4 linked regions of the Saccharomyces cerevisiae S288C genome follow. Changing the gene in region 1 together with any one later gene gives a genetic interaction. Each region holds a gene or a part of one and is shown in the gene's direction. Other genes may lie near its edges.

The links.
Region 2: mutations in NNF2 (region 1) and GOS1 together harm fitness more than expected from each alone (negative genetic interaction), as found in Saccharomyces cerevisiae (3 studies listed by BioGRID).
Region 3: mutations in NNF2 (region 1) and COP1 together harm fitness more than expected from each alone (negative genetic interaction), as found in Saccharomyces cerevisiae (3 studies listed by BioGRID).
Region 4: mutations in NNF2 (region 1) and GDA1 together harm fitness more than expected from each alone (negative genetic interaction), as found in Saccharomyces cerevisiae (3 studies listed by BioGRID).

The regions. Positions count from the first base shown.
Region 1 is NC_001139.9:655,007-660,297, forward strand, and holds NNF2 (Nnf2p), read left to right. Parts: upstream 1-1,953; coding exon 1,954-4,764; downstream 4,765-5,291. Other genes in the region: CTT1 (catalase T), read left to right, coding at 1-1,316.
Region 2 is NC_001140.6:38,315-41,450, reverse strand, and holds GOS1 (Gos1p), read left to right. Parts: upstream 1-1,964; coding exon 1,965-2,636; downstream 2,637-3,136. Other genes in the region: ECM29 (Ecm29p), read right to left, coding at 1-1,367; GUT1 (glycerol kinase), read left to right, coding at 2,943-3,136. UniProt on the Saccharomyces cerevisiae protein: Involved in transport from the ER to the Golgi apparatus as well as in intra-Golgi transport. It belongs to a super-family of proteins called t-SNAREs or soluble NSF (N-ethylmaleimide-sensitive factor) attachment protein receptor.
Region 3 is NC_001136.10:194,048-200,204, reverse strand, and holds COP1 (coatomer subunit alpha), read left to right. Parts: upstream 1-2,028; coding exon 2,029-5,634; downstream 5,635-6,157. Other genes in the region: chaperonin-containing T-complex subunit CCT4, read right to left, coding at 1-209; YDL144C (uncharacterized protein), read left to right, coding at 473-1,543; LDB17 (Ldb17p), read right to left, coding at 5,980-6,157. UniProt on the Saccharomyces cerevisiae protein: The coatomer is a cytosolic protein complex that binds to dilysine motifs and reversibly associates with Golgi non-clathrin-coated vesicles, which further mediate biosynthetic protein transport from the ER, via the Golgi up to the trans Golgi network.
Region 4 is NC_001137.3:72,170-75,876, forward strand, and holds GDA1 (guanosine diphosphatase), read left to right. Parts: upstream 1-1,601; coding exon 1,602-3,158; downstream 3,159-3,707. Other genes in the region: GTA1 (Gta1p), read left to right, coding at 1-1,179. UniProt on the Saccharomyces cerevisiae protein: After transfer of sugars to endogenous macromolecular acceptors, the enzyme converts nucleoside diphosphates to nucleoside monophosphates which in turn exit the Golgi lumen in a coupled antiporter reaction, allowing entry of additional nucleotide sugar from the cytosol.

The DNA.
Region 1 (5,291 bases):
TCTATACCGAGTGGGGGAACCATGACTGGGTCTTCAACAATACTCCCGTCTTCTTCCTCAGAGACGCTATTAAGTTTCCCGTATTTATTCATTCGCAAAAGAGAGACCCTCAGTCTCATCTGAATCAGTTTCAGGACACTACCATATACTGGGATTATCTAACATTGAATCCGGAATCAATCCATCAAATAACTTACATGTTTGGTGATAGAGGTACTCCTGCTTCGTGGGCTAGTATGAACGCGTACTCTGGTCATTCCTTCATCATGGTCAACAAAGAAGGTAAGGACACATATGTGCAATTCCACGTCTTGTCGGATACTGGTTTTGAAACCTTGACTGGAGATAAGGCTGCTGAACTGTCAGGCTCCCACCCTGATTATAATCAGGCAAAGCTGTTCACTCAATTGCAAAATGGCGAAAAGCCAAAATTTAACTGTTATGTGCAAACAATGACACCCGAACAAGCAACTAAGTTCAGGTATTCGGTAAATGACCTAACGAAAATATGGCCACACAAGGAATTCCCTTTGAGAAAATTTGGTACCATCACCCTAACGGAGAATGTTGACAATTATTTCCAAGAAATTGAACAAGTTGCATTCAGTCCAACGAACACTTGTATCCCAGGTATTAAGCCTTCTAATGATTCCGTTCTACAAGCCAGACTTTTCTCCTATCCAGACACTCAACGTCATAGATTGGGAGCCAACTATCAGCAATTGCCCGTCAACAGACCAAGAAACTTGGGATGTCCATACTCCAAAGGTGATTCCCAATACACTGCCGAACAGTGTCCATTTAAAGCAGTGAACTTCCAAAGGGACGGCCCAATGAGTTACTACAATTTCGGTCCTGAGCCAAATTATATTTCCAGTTTACCAAATCAAACTCTGAAATTCAAAAATGAAGACAACGACGAAGTATCTGATAAGTTCAAAGGGATAGTTCTTGACGAAGTAACAGAAGTTTCTGTGAGAAAACAGGAACAAGACCAAATCAGAAACGAGCATATTGTTGATGCCAAAATTAATCAATATTACTACGTTTATGGTATTAGTCCACTAGACTTCGAACAGCCAAGAGCTCTATATGAAAAGGTATACAACGATGAACAGAAGAAATTATTCGTTCATAACGTTGTTTGCCACGCTTGTAAGATCAAAGATCCTAAAGTCAAAAAGAGAGTTACGCAATACTTTGGTTTGCTAAACGAAGATTTGGGTAAAGTCATTGCAGAATGCTTGGGAGTTCCTTGGGAACCTGTTGACCTTGAAGGTTATGCCAAGACTTGGTCCATTGCAAGTGCCAATTAAGGCAGCACTATTTATTCATAATTATTCGTAATTATATCTCCATAATTATTTATTCATAAGTTTTCTTTAAGTTTATTCTCTACATCACTAGTTATTACAAATTGGTCGTATGTACAAGCACTAATATTTCATACTTATCGTACTTCATACATAGCAAATCCTGTTAGGAAAAATATGGCAGCAAAACAGATTGGCTGCCTACTTTTGACACATTTTTTTCTAATTCGGTACTTAGATCGGCATGAACTCAACGATTATCGCATTATACGGACAATCTGAAAAAAAAAAGTAGCCTAACTTATGCAGTTGTGTGTTTATAACGTTGAATTCCTAAACCTCTTGAAGGTGTAATATAACAAGTAACATAACTAGGTTTTCACAACTCGTTAGTTTCTATTAAAAGAGGAATAAACAAATTTTATTAGGACTAAGAGGATTATACAGAGTACCAGCAGAGAAAACTTTAAATTCTTTCTGTTATAATAATATCTTACCAAAGTTTTTTGTTTTCTATCTCCACATTTTTCGTACCATCTCTTTAGGTAATCACTCTGAATAACTTTTATTCATATACACCCCAATATTTTTTAAGATTCCACCTATCTCCGTTACATAAAAGGATCCATGCACAATTTTCATGGAGGAACAATTTACTAATCAGAAGAAAGTATCACATCTACAGTCATTAATGAACACTAAAAGGAGTGAACAGCCCACCGAATTTGCCAAAAAACATAGGTTTAAAGATACGCTTGCATTGTTCCTGGTTTTTTTGAGTTTTAACCACTTCACTTCCCTATGTTTATTGGTTTCCTTTATTGTTGCTACCAAATGCAAAGATTTTCTGGCAAATTGTTTTATTATACTTTTCCTATCGAAAAAACCTTCCCGCCATATCGGTGAAGTGGCGCACATAGATATAAGTACTTCCAAAGTGACCAATGGTAGTTCAAACCGAAAATCTAATTCACGATTTTTTGGCAATTCAAAAAATAGCTTCGTCATTCCGATCCCCGTATTAATTTGTGAAATTTTATTTGCAATGTTACTAAAGATTTACGGTGGCGATTATTTTGTTAAGCCAATAAAAAATCTGGCAATTTCTATTATTGCCTCATTTTTGATCAATGATCCAAGCGATTGCTTAAGCTATGCAACTTCATGCTCAGTATTGTATGCTGTGTCAACTAACACTTTTCAAAGAGTGTCACACTTCTTTGACATTATACAGTTATTTGATATGTCTTTACGAGGAACCGGCCAATCAATTAAATTATTCACGGTTTTTCGCAAGTATTCACAGTTTTTCAAAAAGCTTTTCTCTCTATTTTTGCCAATGCCTTTCAAGATGCTTGGCAAACATTCAGACAGTATGATTTATTATCTATCCTTTCACATCCTTTTTTTCTCATTTGCTTCAAGTTTATTACACCCTCATAGACAAACAGCGGAAAACAAGCCATTGAAAAAGGGTTTCAATTCAACTAAACCAGATGTAGCCCGTGTTCAAGGTCTGCAAAAGATGAGAATTTCTTCTTCTTCTTCCGTTTCTGCCGATTCGAACACTTTAGAGGACCAAAGTCCTATGATACCGAACGATCCAGGTGGACTTAGCAGCAGCAATCAAACTATCCATCCATCCCAACAAAATAACTCGCCAGTTCCCCTATCATCACACAGTAATATTTTGAACCCTGCCGCCTCTTATCCTACTGATGCTACTTCTAGTTTTCCCTATTTCACTTCTATGGTCAAGGAATATAAGTCATATCAGCCATCGGTAATCTCTGCTGAAGGAAGCAATTCTCAAGCCGTTACTACTACTACCAGTACAACAACCTCTCCTACAACGTTCAACTTTTCTGGTGATAACACTAGTTTGTCAAATGAAATCTCTCTATCTGATTCCTCGAATGGAAATTCGAAAAAGGATTCTGATTTCTTTTCCCCTTCCAATGACAAGTATACTAACCAACTGTTTGAACTGAATGTTGATTTTGGGAACATGTTTTCTTCTAGCAAATTATCTTCAGACATATCTGTTACATCAAACTTGGAAAATTTTATCCGTCTTCTATTCAGAAGAAAGAATCAACACTTGATTGCACCTCTTTGGTCTATGGTAGTTACATTAAAAACAACGAATTTTGAAAAAAAATACTTACAAGAAACCTCTGAAAATTCACTAACACCAACAAATTCGAATACTTCATACGTCAGTAATCAGGAAAAACATGACAAAGATTTGGACACGATTAATACACATTCAGTTTCATCAAGAATTAGTTTCACCCATGCCGGAAAGTTTAAGAAGAGCGTGTTTAACAATTTCGAACCTTCAAATACTATGGCCCTGATTGCAAAGACAACATCTGATGACTACAATCTTTTAAATTTAGTTTCCACCAATGAAAATATTTTCAATAGAAATGATAATGACTACAAAGTTTGCATTATTGATATTAGCACAAACTCTATTACATTCCATATTGAAAATTTACATGATGGCGAACTCATTGTTTTAGTAAACGGTGTTATCTGGTCAGAAGTTTCTTGCGCTTTAATTTTAGAGCATGTAGGCGAAGAATACGTTGTCGTTAACGGATTAGTCCCTTCTTGTTCTTATGATATTCAATTCATCAACAGACTAAATCACCGAGATGATTATTTGGTTTCTGATTTAATTGTAAGGACTTGTGGGAATAACAATGCGATTGCCGGAAAATTTGAAAACCTTGATTTCAGCTTCCCTTCATACTACCATAGGAAATTCTTATCTCCGTTGCTAACTCTGAAGCATTCCGTGCTAACTACAAACGCAAATTTGTCCGATGAAAGGACAAAATTGAAAAAGACAAAAAAGGAATTCAGCAAGAAGTTAAGTCTTTTGAGACAAGAAATTGATTATTTTAAAGGCAGGATTTCACAGAACGCAACACATGACGAAAAGAGCACTTTAAAAGTCGAAAATTTGAAGGTTGCCCTACAGCAAAGTGAGACTGCGGTAAATAAGTTAGAGATGCAATTGAAAACTCTCACTGAAAAAGAGCTTGAATTAGAAGAGGAATACTTGAAAAAGAAAGATCTACACTTGAAAAATCAATTAGAGTTCAGTAAGTTAGAAGAAAGCTTATCGAAAGACCTGAAAAACTCAGAAGGGAGGTTCCAAAAGGTCAATCAAGAATTAGTTCAACTAGGCTCTAAACTGGACAAATTGAACGCGAGAAACGAGAAGTTACAAAAGGAGGTCGATCAGAACGCAGAAGAGATAGAAAAGTTCAGTACTCAATTTTTGAGTAAAAGAGAAAAGGATAGATTTAGAAGAAAGGAGTACAGGATACGCGAAGCCAATAAATTTGAATTGACTATAAAGGGGTTAGAGCAAGATATCAACAGATTAGAAAATGAGAATGAAAATATACATAGTCTAATTGGTAATAGTTACTGATGGAAGATTAGAAAACAAAGATAGATAAGAATTCGTTTTGTAGCATCCTAAAATTTACTTCTATTGAATATATACATGTATTTATTACTTGGACGTTCTACTTTAAATGTAGTCAGTCGTTTTTTTCTCGATATTGTTTTTTTATTGTTTCCTAATAACTTCATTTGTTACTTTTTTGCCTTTTGTTATTTATGGAAATAATGCAGGTTAACATAAGTAAACATAAAATATGAGAAAAACTAAGAATGTTTGCTGATGTATTGAACAGTTCACATCGTTGTGTCTACTATTAACACTAAGTTGTTGATCAAAACATTCCCTAATTAATAGCTGCCCCAGGACTTGGAAGGCCACACTACTCTCCATGACATCAAAGATACGGCCCAAATAATCTGTATCCTCGATATGAACTTAGGACCACATATTTGGAGCTTGTCCAAAATACTAAAATGGCAGATAACAATTAGATGGTTCCAATTCAAATACATTACAAGCTACGAAAACTAATATTCTATAATTTATACTAA
Region 2 (3,136 bases), on another chromosome or scaffold:
AAGTCATTTTTCAAGGACTCGAATAGAAATTCAATATAGGATAAGTCACTTACAAGCTCAAAATCTCTTTTCAAGATATCACCCAATGTTTCATATTGCAGCTGTCTCTGCAGAATGGCTGTATTGAAAGCTGGGGTCTGAGGCCCCAATTGTAACTTCGGCCAACCTTCGGCATGAAGATTATTTCTAATCAAGGAAACAATACAAGTGGAAAAGTCTGTTGATGAAGGTGATGAAGAAGCAGGATTTAAATTTTTGTAATTTAATTTTGCTACGTGTCGAATAAAAGAAAGAGTCAAAGATCTAAGTTTATACTCAGATGAATGCAATCCAATAGAGCAAATCAACGAAATACATTCTGCTTTGGTGGTGGCGAAGTGACTTCTGTTTAATATGGACAGGATTTTTTCTTGCAAGATAGCCTTGACCGGCGGTCTTCCATTTGCTGTGTTGCCGATGTACAGCGTCTGAAGAAAGGTGATGAACTCTTCGTTTTCATAAGGCATGGGAAACCGTTTCATGAACTGAGCCGCATCATCAGATAAATTTGTAGAATCCGTAGAGACAACGCACAAAAATTCCATCAGTTCAATCATCCTAGGTGACTGCTCAATAGTTTGGGTAGCCGCCATGCCACGGCAAACAAATTGAAAAATAGCCTTTTTGAACTTATTCAGCTGTTCTTTGTTGAAAGTAACGCCCGCATCATAAGTAAAGAATGCCACATCAGTTAGAGATAGGCCCGGACATGTGTAACCTCTCGACAGGGGCTGTTGAGAAACCTGGACTTGCTTTGAAGGTACCAGCAGAAAAAACCTGGTAAATTGGCGCATCAAAAACGAAAAACCGTCGTTGTCCAGTTGAAGGAACTGAACAAATTCTTCCTGCTCATGTGAAGACTCCTGGGGTGCAACCCATTCCAAAATAAGCTTCAAAAGGATGTGGAACATTCTGGCGGCTACTGTGCCTGTTAGACACGAGATGTTCGAAACGACTAACGGTAGCAACTGCTGTCTATCTTGCAAGGAAAGCCTATCTATGCCTTTAGACGCCAGTAGCAGACTGTAAAGGCGGACATTGGTCGAGTCTTGTTGAGCGGCTAAATTGGGTTCCTTTGCTTGGACAATAAGCGCCCTCACAGGAAGCTGAACCTGGGGCAGCGTATTTATCCTAGAAATGAGGTTTTTTAAGGCTGAAAATACTGCTGTTCTAACGGAGGCATGTGGAGAGGCGAGTTTTAGTAATAATGGAGGCAAAAAAGTCTGCAGATTAGTTTCGAACTTTTGAGGGGAATCTGCGATAGCCAGGCGCAATTCTGCCTTCTCCACGAGCTGTTTTTCTTTCGCTTCGTCAGAAGAAATGGACATAATGTTGTTCGTGGTGAAATAGAAACTTTTCTATAATTATTGTATTATCCAATCCTGCACAAAGACAAAGAGATCAGTTATCGAGAGCTTACCAGCTTCTTTATATCAGGAAGTACCTTTTTTTTGCCACCAAGAAAAGGCATATGGATATACCGGGTAACACATAAATACCAAAACTCTGGCGGCTAAACTGGTAAAACCTGATATATACAAAGATCAAATAAGTATAAAAGCTTTCAAAGATGCTTATGAAAAATCTCACGAGATTGGTAGTTACTGATCAGGCACAAACTCCGCAGCCAAAACAATATTTTGAAAATATGTGAGCATTCAGCAAGAGACCTTCAACTGCTCCGAATGTGCATTTCACAGCAATGCAACAAAAGTCAATGACACTTGCAAACCCAGTGTAAGACGCCTACTCTTGTTCAATCAGTTAGTTATCTTTGTTCAATAGTGTGGTTGGTAACCAAATTTTCTAGGCGTTGTTGAAAATAAAGAGAACGAAAAACAAAAAAAAAGAGATAAAAAGACAAGGAAAAAATAAACTAACTAGACACAGGGAAAAGCCCAATTCCAGACAAGCAACCACACCACATGAGCTCACAACCGTCTTTCGTCACCATAAGGGGCAAGGCCATTTCTCTAGAAACACAAACGGAGTCACTTCTTTCCAAGTACTCCACATTCGCGCAGACAACTAGTTCAGAACAAACTGGCCAAGAAAAGAAGATAGACAAGCAGTTGGAGGGAATCTTAGGCCAGAGACAGGATGTAATCGATTCATTAACACAAATCTGCGATTCTAACCCGGCAATCTCCGCCTCAAAGCTTTCCCAACTGCACCGCCACAAGGAGATCTTACAAGACCACTGGAAGAGCTTCCGCAATATCAGGTCCTCCATCCAGCAAGAGCGCAACAGACTAAACTTGTTATTCAGCGTGAAGAACGATATTGCTAATTCCACAACGGACGCGCCAGCTCCTATAGGGGATGCTGACGAGTACATTCAGAACGAAACAAGGCGAATCGATCAGTCCAACAACGTAGTCGACCGTCTCATCTCCCAAGCCTGGGAGACTCGGTCGCAGTTCCACTCGCAGAGCAACGTGCTGAACACGGCAAACAACAAGGTGTTGCAAACTTTACAAAGAATACCAGGTGTCAATCAGCTTATTATGAAGATTAACACGAGAAGGAAGAAAAACGCGTTTGTATTGGCCACGATAACCACCCTTTGTATACTGTTTTTGTTTTTCACATGGTAAATAACGACTTTTATTAAACAACGTATGTAAAAACATAACAAGAATCTACCCATACAGGCCATTTCGTAATTCTTCTCTTCTAATTGGAGTAAAACCATCAATTAAAGGGTGTGGAGTAGCATAGTGAGGGGCTGACTGCATTGACAAAAAAATTGAAAAAAAAAAAAGGAAAAGGAAAGGAAAAAAAGACAGCCAAGACTTTTAGAACGGATAAGGTGTAATAAAATGTGGGGGGATGCCTGTTCTCGAACCATATAAAATATACCATGTGGTTTGAGTTGTGGCCGGAACTATACAAATAGTTATATGTTTCCCTCTCTCTTCCGACTTGTAGTATTCTCCAAACGTTACATATTCCGATCAAGCCAGCGCCTTTACACTAGTTTAAAACAAGAACAGAGCCGTATGTCCAAAATAATGGAAGATTTACGAAGTGACTACGTCCCGCTTATCGCCAGTATTGATGTAGGAACGACCTCATCCAGATGCATTCTGTTCAA
Region 3 (6,157 bases), on another chromosome or scaffold:
ATGGCCATCTGTTTTAGAATGGTGTGGCCATCATTAGAGATGATGATTTCTCCACGAGATGTCTTAATCATCTTGTCCATACCCTTGGGACCCAATGAAGTACGGATGGCATCTGCAACAGAACGTGCAGCGATGATGTTGGCTTTGCGAACCTCTTGAGGTTTTTCCTTGTTCTTAAACGTGGCGTTAGATGGAACTTTAGCAGACATCGTTCTATACTCTCCTTTACCCGTCTTGCACACTTGCCGCACCTCCAATTACAATTCATAACCTTCATGCCCACTTAGCTATATCAACCTCTTGAACTGTATTCAATTAGCCTTTCTTGGTGGCGAAACGAAAAAAATTTCAGTTTCCCCGTGGCAAGTGATAGTAATACCAAATTATATAGCCTTAATTAGGACATATTGATATACCTCATAAACTACAGTCCCGGTGCCAGGATACAAGTTGGCATAAGCTAATGTCGAAAATGTCTAGAATACTAGTTATCGGGGCAGGTGGCGTTGGGGTCATTACTGCGCTTTCGTTGTGGCTTAAGAAGGAGAGCGACGTTTCCTTGGTAGTCAGATCTGACTACGATAGGGTATTGAAGCATGGCTACACAATCGAATCATGTGACTATGGCCGGTTAGAAGGTTGGAGACCCCACCATATTTACAGCAGCGTCGAGGACGCTGCTTCTGCCGCAGACAACCAAGGATACAACTATATTGTAGTGACTACCAAGAACATCATAGATGGGCCCGTTAATTCAAGGGTGTCCAACATCATCAGACCTGTGCTTGAGAAGAATAAAGAGCTACATGGGCCGCAATTGACGACACACATTTTACTGGTACAGAACGGAATCGATATTGAGAAGGAGATATGGGCGGAATTTCCCAGAGAGCAGTATCGTTACACGGTGCTTTCTGGCATCCAGTTAATCGGATCCACTAAGATCGGGTCAGGCCATATCAGTCAAGTGGGCCAGGACCACTTATCGTGTGGAGCTTTTGATCCACAGGACGCTGCTGCTATCCAGGCTGCCAACGACTTCGTCAGGATGTACAGCAACGAGGGGCAAAACTTTGTCGAATTTGACCCTAGGGTCCGTTACTCTCGGTGGAAGAAGTTGCTCTACAATGCAGCTATCAACACATCCACGGCACTTGTGGGGCTAGACGTTCCGCGTTGCCTGGAGTTTGGGGTTAACAAGAAGAGCACAGAAATTGAAGTGTTCCACCCTGCCATGAGGGAGATCATCGCCATTGCGGCGAGTGAAGGCATCATTATCGAAGAGGAGTTCATAACGATGTTTACAGAGATTACCAGGAAAAAGGTGTTCAAGCCATCCATGTGCGTGGACTGCGAGAAGGGCCAATTGATGGAGCTAGAAGTCATCCTAGGCAACCCCATAAGAATCGCGAAAAGAAACGGCGTCGCTACACCCACTCTTTCTATCTTATACAACCTACTTGTGCTAGTACAGGCCAAACTAAAGGAGCGGAAAGGCCTATTGAAGTTCGACGAAAAAACTGCCACTCTTGTGGACGAGTAGTTCCAACCATTGCTTGCCTCGTTGACGAGCCTTCATCTAGTATATTGTAACACATAATTTAGTATGTACTCTTAACTATTATTCTTATTGTCAGCATTTATACGACGTACAGAGCGACCGAAAATTTCGACAACACGAAACGAAATCGACAATTTGCCAACTTGAATAAATAACAGATCCGTCTTCGAGACTGTGACGATTGAGCCTCGATTCAGTAGCATACAGGGACCACAAACTTGTTTGAAGAGGCATTGCAATTAGGTAAATCATAGAATTGGCGAAACCAGCAGGATTTTCCAAACATTTGTTACTTACCCCCTTCTTTGCTTAAGATATAAAGTTTTTTCTTTTTATTTTATCTTCCCTTTACACTTTTGAATAAAAACATTATCATACCTGTTTACAAATTCGCGGTTTATTTAACCTGAAATCAGTATACTTTTTTTCTTCTGTAGTGTCTTTGTTCATTTCATTACTGGATCAAGATGAAGATGTTAACTAAATTTGAATCAAAGTCCACTAGGGCCAAGGGCATTGCCTTCCACCCCTCCAGACCTTGGGTTTTGGTGGCTTTGTTTTCCTCTACTATTCAATTATGGGATTACAGGATGGGAACACTACTTCACAGATTTGAAGACCACGAGGGCCCTGTTCGTGGGCTAGATTTCCATCCAACCCAACCGATTTTTGTTTCGGCAGGTGACGACTATACCATTAAAGTTTGGTCCTTAGATACTAACAAATGTCTATACACCTTAACTGGGCATTTGGATTATGTCCGTACCGTGTTTTTCCACCGTGAGCTGCCTTGGATCATATCTGCTTCTGATGACCAGACCATAAGAATCTGGAACTGGCAAAACCGTAAGGAAATTGCATGTTTGACCGGCCACAATCATTTTGTCATGTGTGCTCAATTTCATCCAACCGATGACCTGATCGTTTCCGCTTCTCTGGATGAAACCATCAGAATTTGGGATATTTCCGGTTTAAGGAAAAGACACTCCGCTCCTGGTACTAGTTCATTTGAGGAGCAAATGAGTGCACAACAAAATCTATTGGATGGCTCTCTTGGTGACTGTGTTGTCAAGTTTATTCTAGAGGGTCACACAAGAGGTGTCAACTGGGCCTCTTTCCATCCAACTTTACCATTGATTGTCTCCGGCAGTGACGACCGTCAAGTTAAATTATGGAGAATGAGTGCTACGAAAGCTTGGGAAGTTGATACTTGCAGAGGTCACACTAACAATGTTGATAGTGTTATCTTTCACCCACATCAAAACTTGATCATTTCTGTCGGTGAAGACAAAACGCTAAGGGTTTGGGATCTTGACAAGAGAACTCCAGTAAAGCAATTCAAAAGAGAAAACGATAGATTTTGGTTGATTGCAGCACATCCTCATATCAATCTATTTGGTGCAGCTCACGATTCTGGTATTATGGTTTTCAAGCTCGATCGCGAAAGACCATGCAGCTTTATCCATCAAAACCAGTTGTTTTTTGTCAATGCGGAAAAGCAAATCCAAAGTTTCAATTTCCAGAAAAGAGTCGCTTCATTACCTTATGCGTCCTTAAAGGGTATTGGTCAACCTTGGGATGCATTCAGAAGTATATCGTACAATCCCTCCCAACATTCAGTTTTGGTTAATGAAGCTAATGGCAAATTTGCTCTCGTTATTTTACCAAAACAACCAGTTGGAGCTGTGGAGCCAACAAGTGTCACCCAAGATACAGGTAATTTTGCTACTTTTGTTGGTCGTAATAGATTTGTTGTTTACAACAAGAACACTGAATCTGTTGAAGTTCGCTCTCTCGAAAACAAAGTTACAAGAAATATCAAAGTAGAGGAAACAGTAAGAACTATTGTAGCTGCAGGTCCTGGATCTGTTTTGGTCATACACCCCAGAGAAGTTATTCTTTATGATGTCCAACAGGGCAAAAAAGTATCCCAATTGGCTGTTAAAAACGTCAAGTACGTTTCGTGGTCCTTAGATGGTCAATATGTTGCATTGATGAGTAAGCACACCATAACTTTGGCTACCAAAAAGCTAGAATTGATTAATTCTATGCATGAAACGATTAGAATCAAAAGTGCCGCTTGGGATGAAACTGGTGTATTAATTTATTCAACTTTAAATCATATAAGGTACTCACTATTGAACGGGGATAGAGGTATTATTAAAACTTTGGAGAAAACTTTATATATCACAAAAGTTCAGGGAAAATTAGTGTACTGCTTGAACCGTGAAGGTGAGATTGAAATTTTAACCATTGATCCTACAGAATATCGCTTCAAAAAGGCCCTGGTTAACAAAAATTTCCCAGAAGTTTTACGTCTGATAAAAGATTCTAATTTGGTTGGCCAGAATATCATTTCCTATCTGCAGAAGTCAGGTTACCCAGAAATTGCTTTACAATTCGTTCAAGACCCACATATCCGTTTTGATTTAGCTTTGGAATACGGTAATTTGGATGTTGCCTTAGATGAAGCCAAAAAACTGAATGATTCTAGTACTTGGGAAAGATTAATCCAAGAAGCCTTGGCACAAGGTAATGCCAGCTTAGCTGAAATGATTTATCAAACTCAACATTCTTTTGACAAACTTTCCTTCCTGTATTTAGTTACAGGTGACGTTAACAAACTATCTAAAATGCAAAATATCGCTCAGACTCGTGAAGACTTTGGAAGTATGCTATTAAACACCTTTTACAACAATTCAACCAAGGAAAGATCTAGCATTTTTGCAGAGGGCGGCTCTTTACCATTAGCTTATGCCGTAGCAAAGGCTAACGGAGATGAAGCGGCTGCTTCTGCTTTCTTGGAGCAAGCTGAAGTTGATGAACAAGATGTTACTTTACCAGACCAGATGGATGCCTCCAACTTCGTTCAAAGACCAGTGATCTCAAAGCCACTTGAAAAATGGCCATTAAAAGAGGCTGAACTATCTTACTTTGAAAAGGCTGTTTTAGGTCAAATTGACGATTTGACTATAGACGATGAAACTCCAGCAGTAAACACCACTCAAGAGCAAGAAGAACCACTAGGCGAAGAAAACTTTAACGATGAGGATATTGGTGAAGACGAAGGTGCCTGGGATTTGGGTGACGAAGATTTGGATGTGGGAGAAGAGTTACCTGAAGAAGTTGAGCAAGGCGAAATTACCTCTCCAGCACAGGAAGTTGAAACAGCCATTTGGATCAAGAATTCTAAACTGCCTGCTGTCCTAGTTGCCGCTGGTGCCTTTGATGCCGCTGTTCAAGCCTTGAGCAAGCAAGTGGGTGTAGTCAAGCTGGAGCCATTGAAGAAATATTTTACCAACATTTATGAGGGTTGTAGAACATACATTCCTAGTACGCCCTGTGAACTTCCTGCTCAATTAGGTTATGTCAGAGCGTATGATGATACCGTAAGTGAAGATCAAATTCTTCCTTACGTGCCAGGTCTTGATGTCGTTAATGAAAAAATGAATGAGGGTTACAAAAACTTTAAACTAAACAAACCAGATATTGCAATCGAATGCTTCAGAGAAGCTATCTACCGTATTACGCTATTAATGGTCGATGATGCTGAAGATGAAAAATTAGCACACAAGATACTGGAAACTGCTAGGGAGTATATATTAGGTTTATCCATTGAATTGGAACGCCGCTCATTAAAGGAGGGAAATACTGTACGCATGCTTGAGCTAGCTGCATACTTTACAAAGGCAAAACTATCCCCAATTCATCGTACCAATGCTTTACAAGTGGCTATGTCCCAACATTTCAAACACAAAAATTTCTTACAGGCCTCATATTTTGCCGGTGAATTTTTAAAGATTATTTCTTCTGGTCCTCGTGCAGAACAAGCACGTAAAATCAAAAACAAAGCCGACTCAATGGCCAGTGACGCCATTCCAATTGACTTTGATCCTTATGCTAAATTCGATATTTGTGCAGCCACCTACAAACCAATTTATGAAGATACACCTTCCGTTTCTGACCCATTAACAGGTAGTAAATACGTTATCACGGAAAAAGATAAAATAGATAGAATTGCTATGATTTCTAAGATCGGTGCACCTGCATCCGGATTAAGAATACGTGTATAAATGCTATTTTGCCTATTGATTTTCTCGGGATTGTATTCTGCTCGACCTAAATTTCATGTGACAAGTCCTTTTAATCTAAACAATATGATAGTGAAAAAAAAAAACTGACTATGTAATTAACAGTTATATACAACTTCTAAAATAAAAAATATCGCCTATTTTAACAAGTGACACACAACCTGAAATTCTGCCAGCATGTATTCGGAAGCAACCCGAACTTTAGTTTTATAGTTACGATTGTTGCATTTGTATATAAAAAGTACAATGTGTCATTAGATACTGCAGTGAGTAGAAGAAGAAATGGTCGGAAGAACCACATTAATGCAAGAAGAAATAATGCTTTACTTATTTTGGAGTTCCACATTTTCTTGATGGAGGAGGAGGAGGAGGCGGAGGCGGAGCTTTAGCCTTTCTTTTAGTCAAAGATTCTGCAGAAACATCTAATTCACGATTACTATAAAGATGGCCTTTACGAGCCAAGATATTTTGATTGTCGGGCGTCCCCAATGCAACAATGCTAGAG
Region 4 (3,707 bases), on another chromosome or scaffold:
AGCAGTCTATTGAGTCAATTGACACAGGACACCGATAATCGATCAATGCTCTCCAATCACATCTCATCGAACAACGAAAACAAGCAACAGCCTTCTTCATATTCACATGCTTTACCTACAACTGCTACTGCTAATGCAACAGCAACAGCAACAGCAACTAATGGTCACTCAAGGTCAAATTTATGGACCACCGCACAATTCGCTCAACCTTCGCATCAACAAGTATCTACAGAATTGGATCAAGCTTTTGAATACGATAATGCAAACCACTTAATCAGTGGTTTGCAAAATATGATCTACGACGAAACAGACTATCCTGATAACATAAGCAATTATTCCAAGGGTTTTACTACAGACGAACTTGACAATTACTGGACTAAGCAGCAACCCCAGGTGCGCAGCACAAATGAAAGTCTTTTCTCTACGACTGGAACACCTATGTCATCATATAAGGCTAACCCAGTAATATCTCCATATTCTAGTTCTCATTTGCGACAAACCTCCAACGCAACCAATACGAATCCTATGCATCCACAGAGTCTACTCGCCGCTACATTGAATGATCCTTCATTACAAAGTTTTGTACGCAGTGGTTCTTTCTACAGTGCTCCGCAACCTGCAAACTCCTTACAGAACAATATCAATGGCAATGAAACCGAGAACATTAGTCCAAGGATATCAAGTGACTTCAATTTATTGGTGCCAAACTTGAGCCCACGACTCTCAAACGATGTGCCCATTGTTCCAGGCAATAACACTACTTTAACACCTTCACACTCGAACATATTAACAATGAACCATCAACCAACGGCGGATAACATTACACGAAGATCTTTCCATGCCTCTTCACCACCTTTCAACTCCATATGGAATTCAAATACAAATCAACTTTCTCCTCCATTGGAGGAGCAGTATCACCTCGATGTGCCTGTGGGTCCAAAGGTTCCCGCTAAAGAACCAAGCCCTAAGCCTTCTCACAAGAGGAACCAAAGTAACAGCAGCATTTCTTCTGCATGGTCCAAGTTTAAGCACAAGTCTGCATCATCACCTGCTAATGCGGACACGGATATTCAAGATTCATCAACTCCATCAACTAGTCCAAGCGGTAGAAGAATGTCAAAACTGTTGTCCAAGAGCGGTATGAATAATCTATTTAACCCGCACAGTCACGACTCATGAACAATATTATAATACTTCCAGGTCGTGTATATATGTAGATATATAAATTATGAAACATAATATATGAAAGCAGTTTGAGCTTATTCTTAATCATCAATAGGGTAACGGTATTAATCTCATTTTTTCTTTTTTTTTTTCTTTTTATTTTGGCGTCTCGTCTCAATTTCATTTTTCCCATCTTTTTACAACTTCAATATGAAAAACATAACACATGAAAAATAACTGTCAACATTAATAATATTCCTTGCATAGTGCTTCGATTTTCCAAATATAAAAACAGTTTCTTTTACAAGCTTATTTAATTTTGGTTTTAAGGAGAAAGCACTAATAAAAAGGGCAAGGACTGCAATCAACAATCTTTATTGGCGAACAGTTAAGGGTCCTCTCGAGAAGAAACATTAAGACATCATCGCACAAAAAACATGGCGCCCATCTTTAGAAATTACCGGTTCGCTATCGGTGCTTTTGCCGTTATTATGCTCATTTTGTTGATTAAAACATCTTCCATCGGTCCACCTTCTATTGCACGTACAGTTACTCCTAATGCTAGTATTCCCAAAACTCCGGAGGACATCTCTATCTTGCCCGTCAATGATGAACCAGGTTACCTTCAAGATTCGAAGACTGAACAAAACTATCCTGAGCTTGCCGATGCTGTGAAGTCACAAACAAGTCAAACATGCAGCGAAGAACATAAGTATGTTATCATGATCGATGCCGGCTCTACCGGTTCCCGAGTACATATATACAAGTTTGACGTCTGTACTTCCCCACCTACATTACTTGATGAAAAATTCGACATGTTAGAGCCTGGTTTATCTTCTTTCGATACCGATTCCGTTGGTGCCGCTAACTCCCTTGACCCATTACTGAAAGTAGCAATGAACTATGTCCCTATTAAGGCAAGAAGTTGTACTCCCGTTGCGGTGAAAGCTACTGCAGGCCTAAGACTCTTGGGTGATGCCAAATCTTCAAAAATTTTGAGCGCTGTAAGGGATCATTTGGAGAAGGACTATCCTTTCCCAGTTGTCGAAGGTGATGGTGTTTCCATCATGGGCGGTGATGAAGAAGGTGTCTTCGCCTGGATTACTACAAACTACCTATTAGGTAATATCGGTGCTAATGGCCCCAAGTTACCTACTGCTGCCGTTTTTGACTTAGGCGGAGGGTCTACACAAATTGTTTTTGAGCCTACTTTCCCAATAAATGAAAAAATGGTCGATGGTGAGCATAAATTTGATTTGAAGTTTGGTGATGAAAATTACACCTTGTACCAATTTTCTCATCTAGGTTACGGTTTGAAGGAAGGAAGAAATAAAGTTAACTCTGTTCTTGTGGAAAATGCATTAAAAGACGGCAAAATATTGAAGGGTGATAACACTAAGACTCATCAATTGTCATCTCCATGCCTACCGCCTAAAGTTAATGCCACAAATGAAAAGGTTACATTAGAATCCAAGGAAACTTATACCATTGACTTTATAGGGCCGGACGAGCCAAGTGGTGCACAATGTAGATTTCTGACTGATGAAATTTTGAATAAAGATGCTCAGTGCCAGTCTCCACCATGCTCTTTCAATGGGGTTCACCAACCTTCTTTAGTTCGTACATTCAAAGAATCGAACGATATCTATATTTTCTCTTATTTCTACGACAGAACCCGTCCATTGGGTATGCCCTTGTCCTTTACTTTGAATGAATTGAACGATTTGGCAAGAATAGTGTGTAAAGGCGAAGAAACTTGGAATAGTGTCTTCAGTGGCATTGCGGGGTCCCTAGATGAATTGGAAAGTGACTCGCACTTCTGTTTGGACTTATCTTTTCAAGTGTCCTTATTACATACGGGATATGACATTCCATTACAAAGAGAATTGAGAACTGGAAAGAAAATTGCCAATAAAGAAATCGGTTGGTGTTTAGGTGCGTCATTACCATTGTTGAAAGCTGATAACTGGAAATGTAAAATTCAATCAGCTTGAATAAGAACATGGACACCGCTTTTCGTCCCATGTATATTAAGGAAGAGGAGATTGCGGTGATATGTATTCTGTTATATGTCCTATTCTATAACCCTTGAACAATATGTAAACGATTTTTACGTTATGAAAATCACTATTATCCCCACAATAGTTTATTATAACACCGCCGCCAAGACAGGGGATTGAAAAGGCCTTCCGAGGTTTATCCATTTTTGGTAAAAGCCCGCCACGCCTTCAGGTGTTTGAGTATGAACTGGAAGAGTTATCTGTTAGGACCTCATAATCTTGAACATATGAGATAATTTAATATACTTTTGTTATGGATTGTTCCGTTGTTTTAAGACTATATGGCTTTGTTTTAGTTTTAGGGTGATTGTGGATATCACACCGGTCCTCAAGAAAATCGAAAACAAAAGGATAATCGGACTTATCTGGTGATCGAAGAAACTGCATTTCAGGTCGTTTAATAAACTGCTAGCTATTGATATTATATATATAAATAAACCTACAATCAGGTTAGTGTATTCATCTCACTTCTATAGCGTTGTG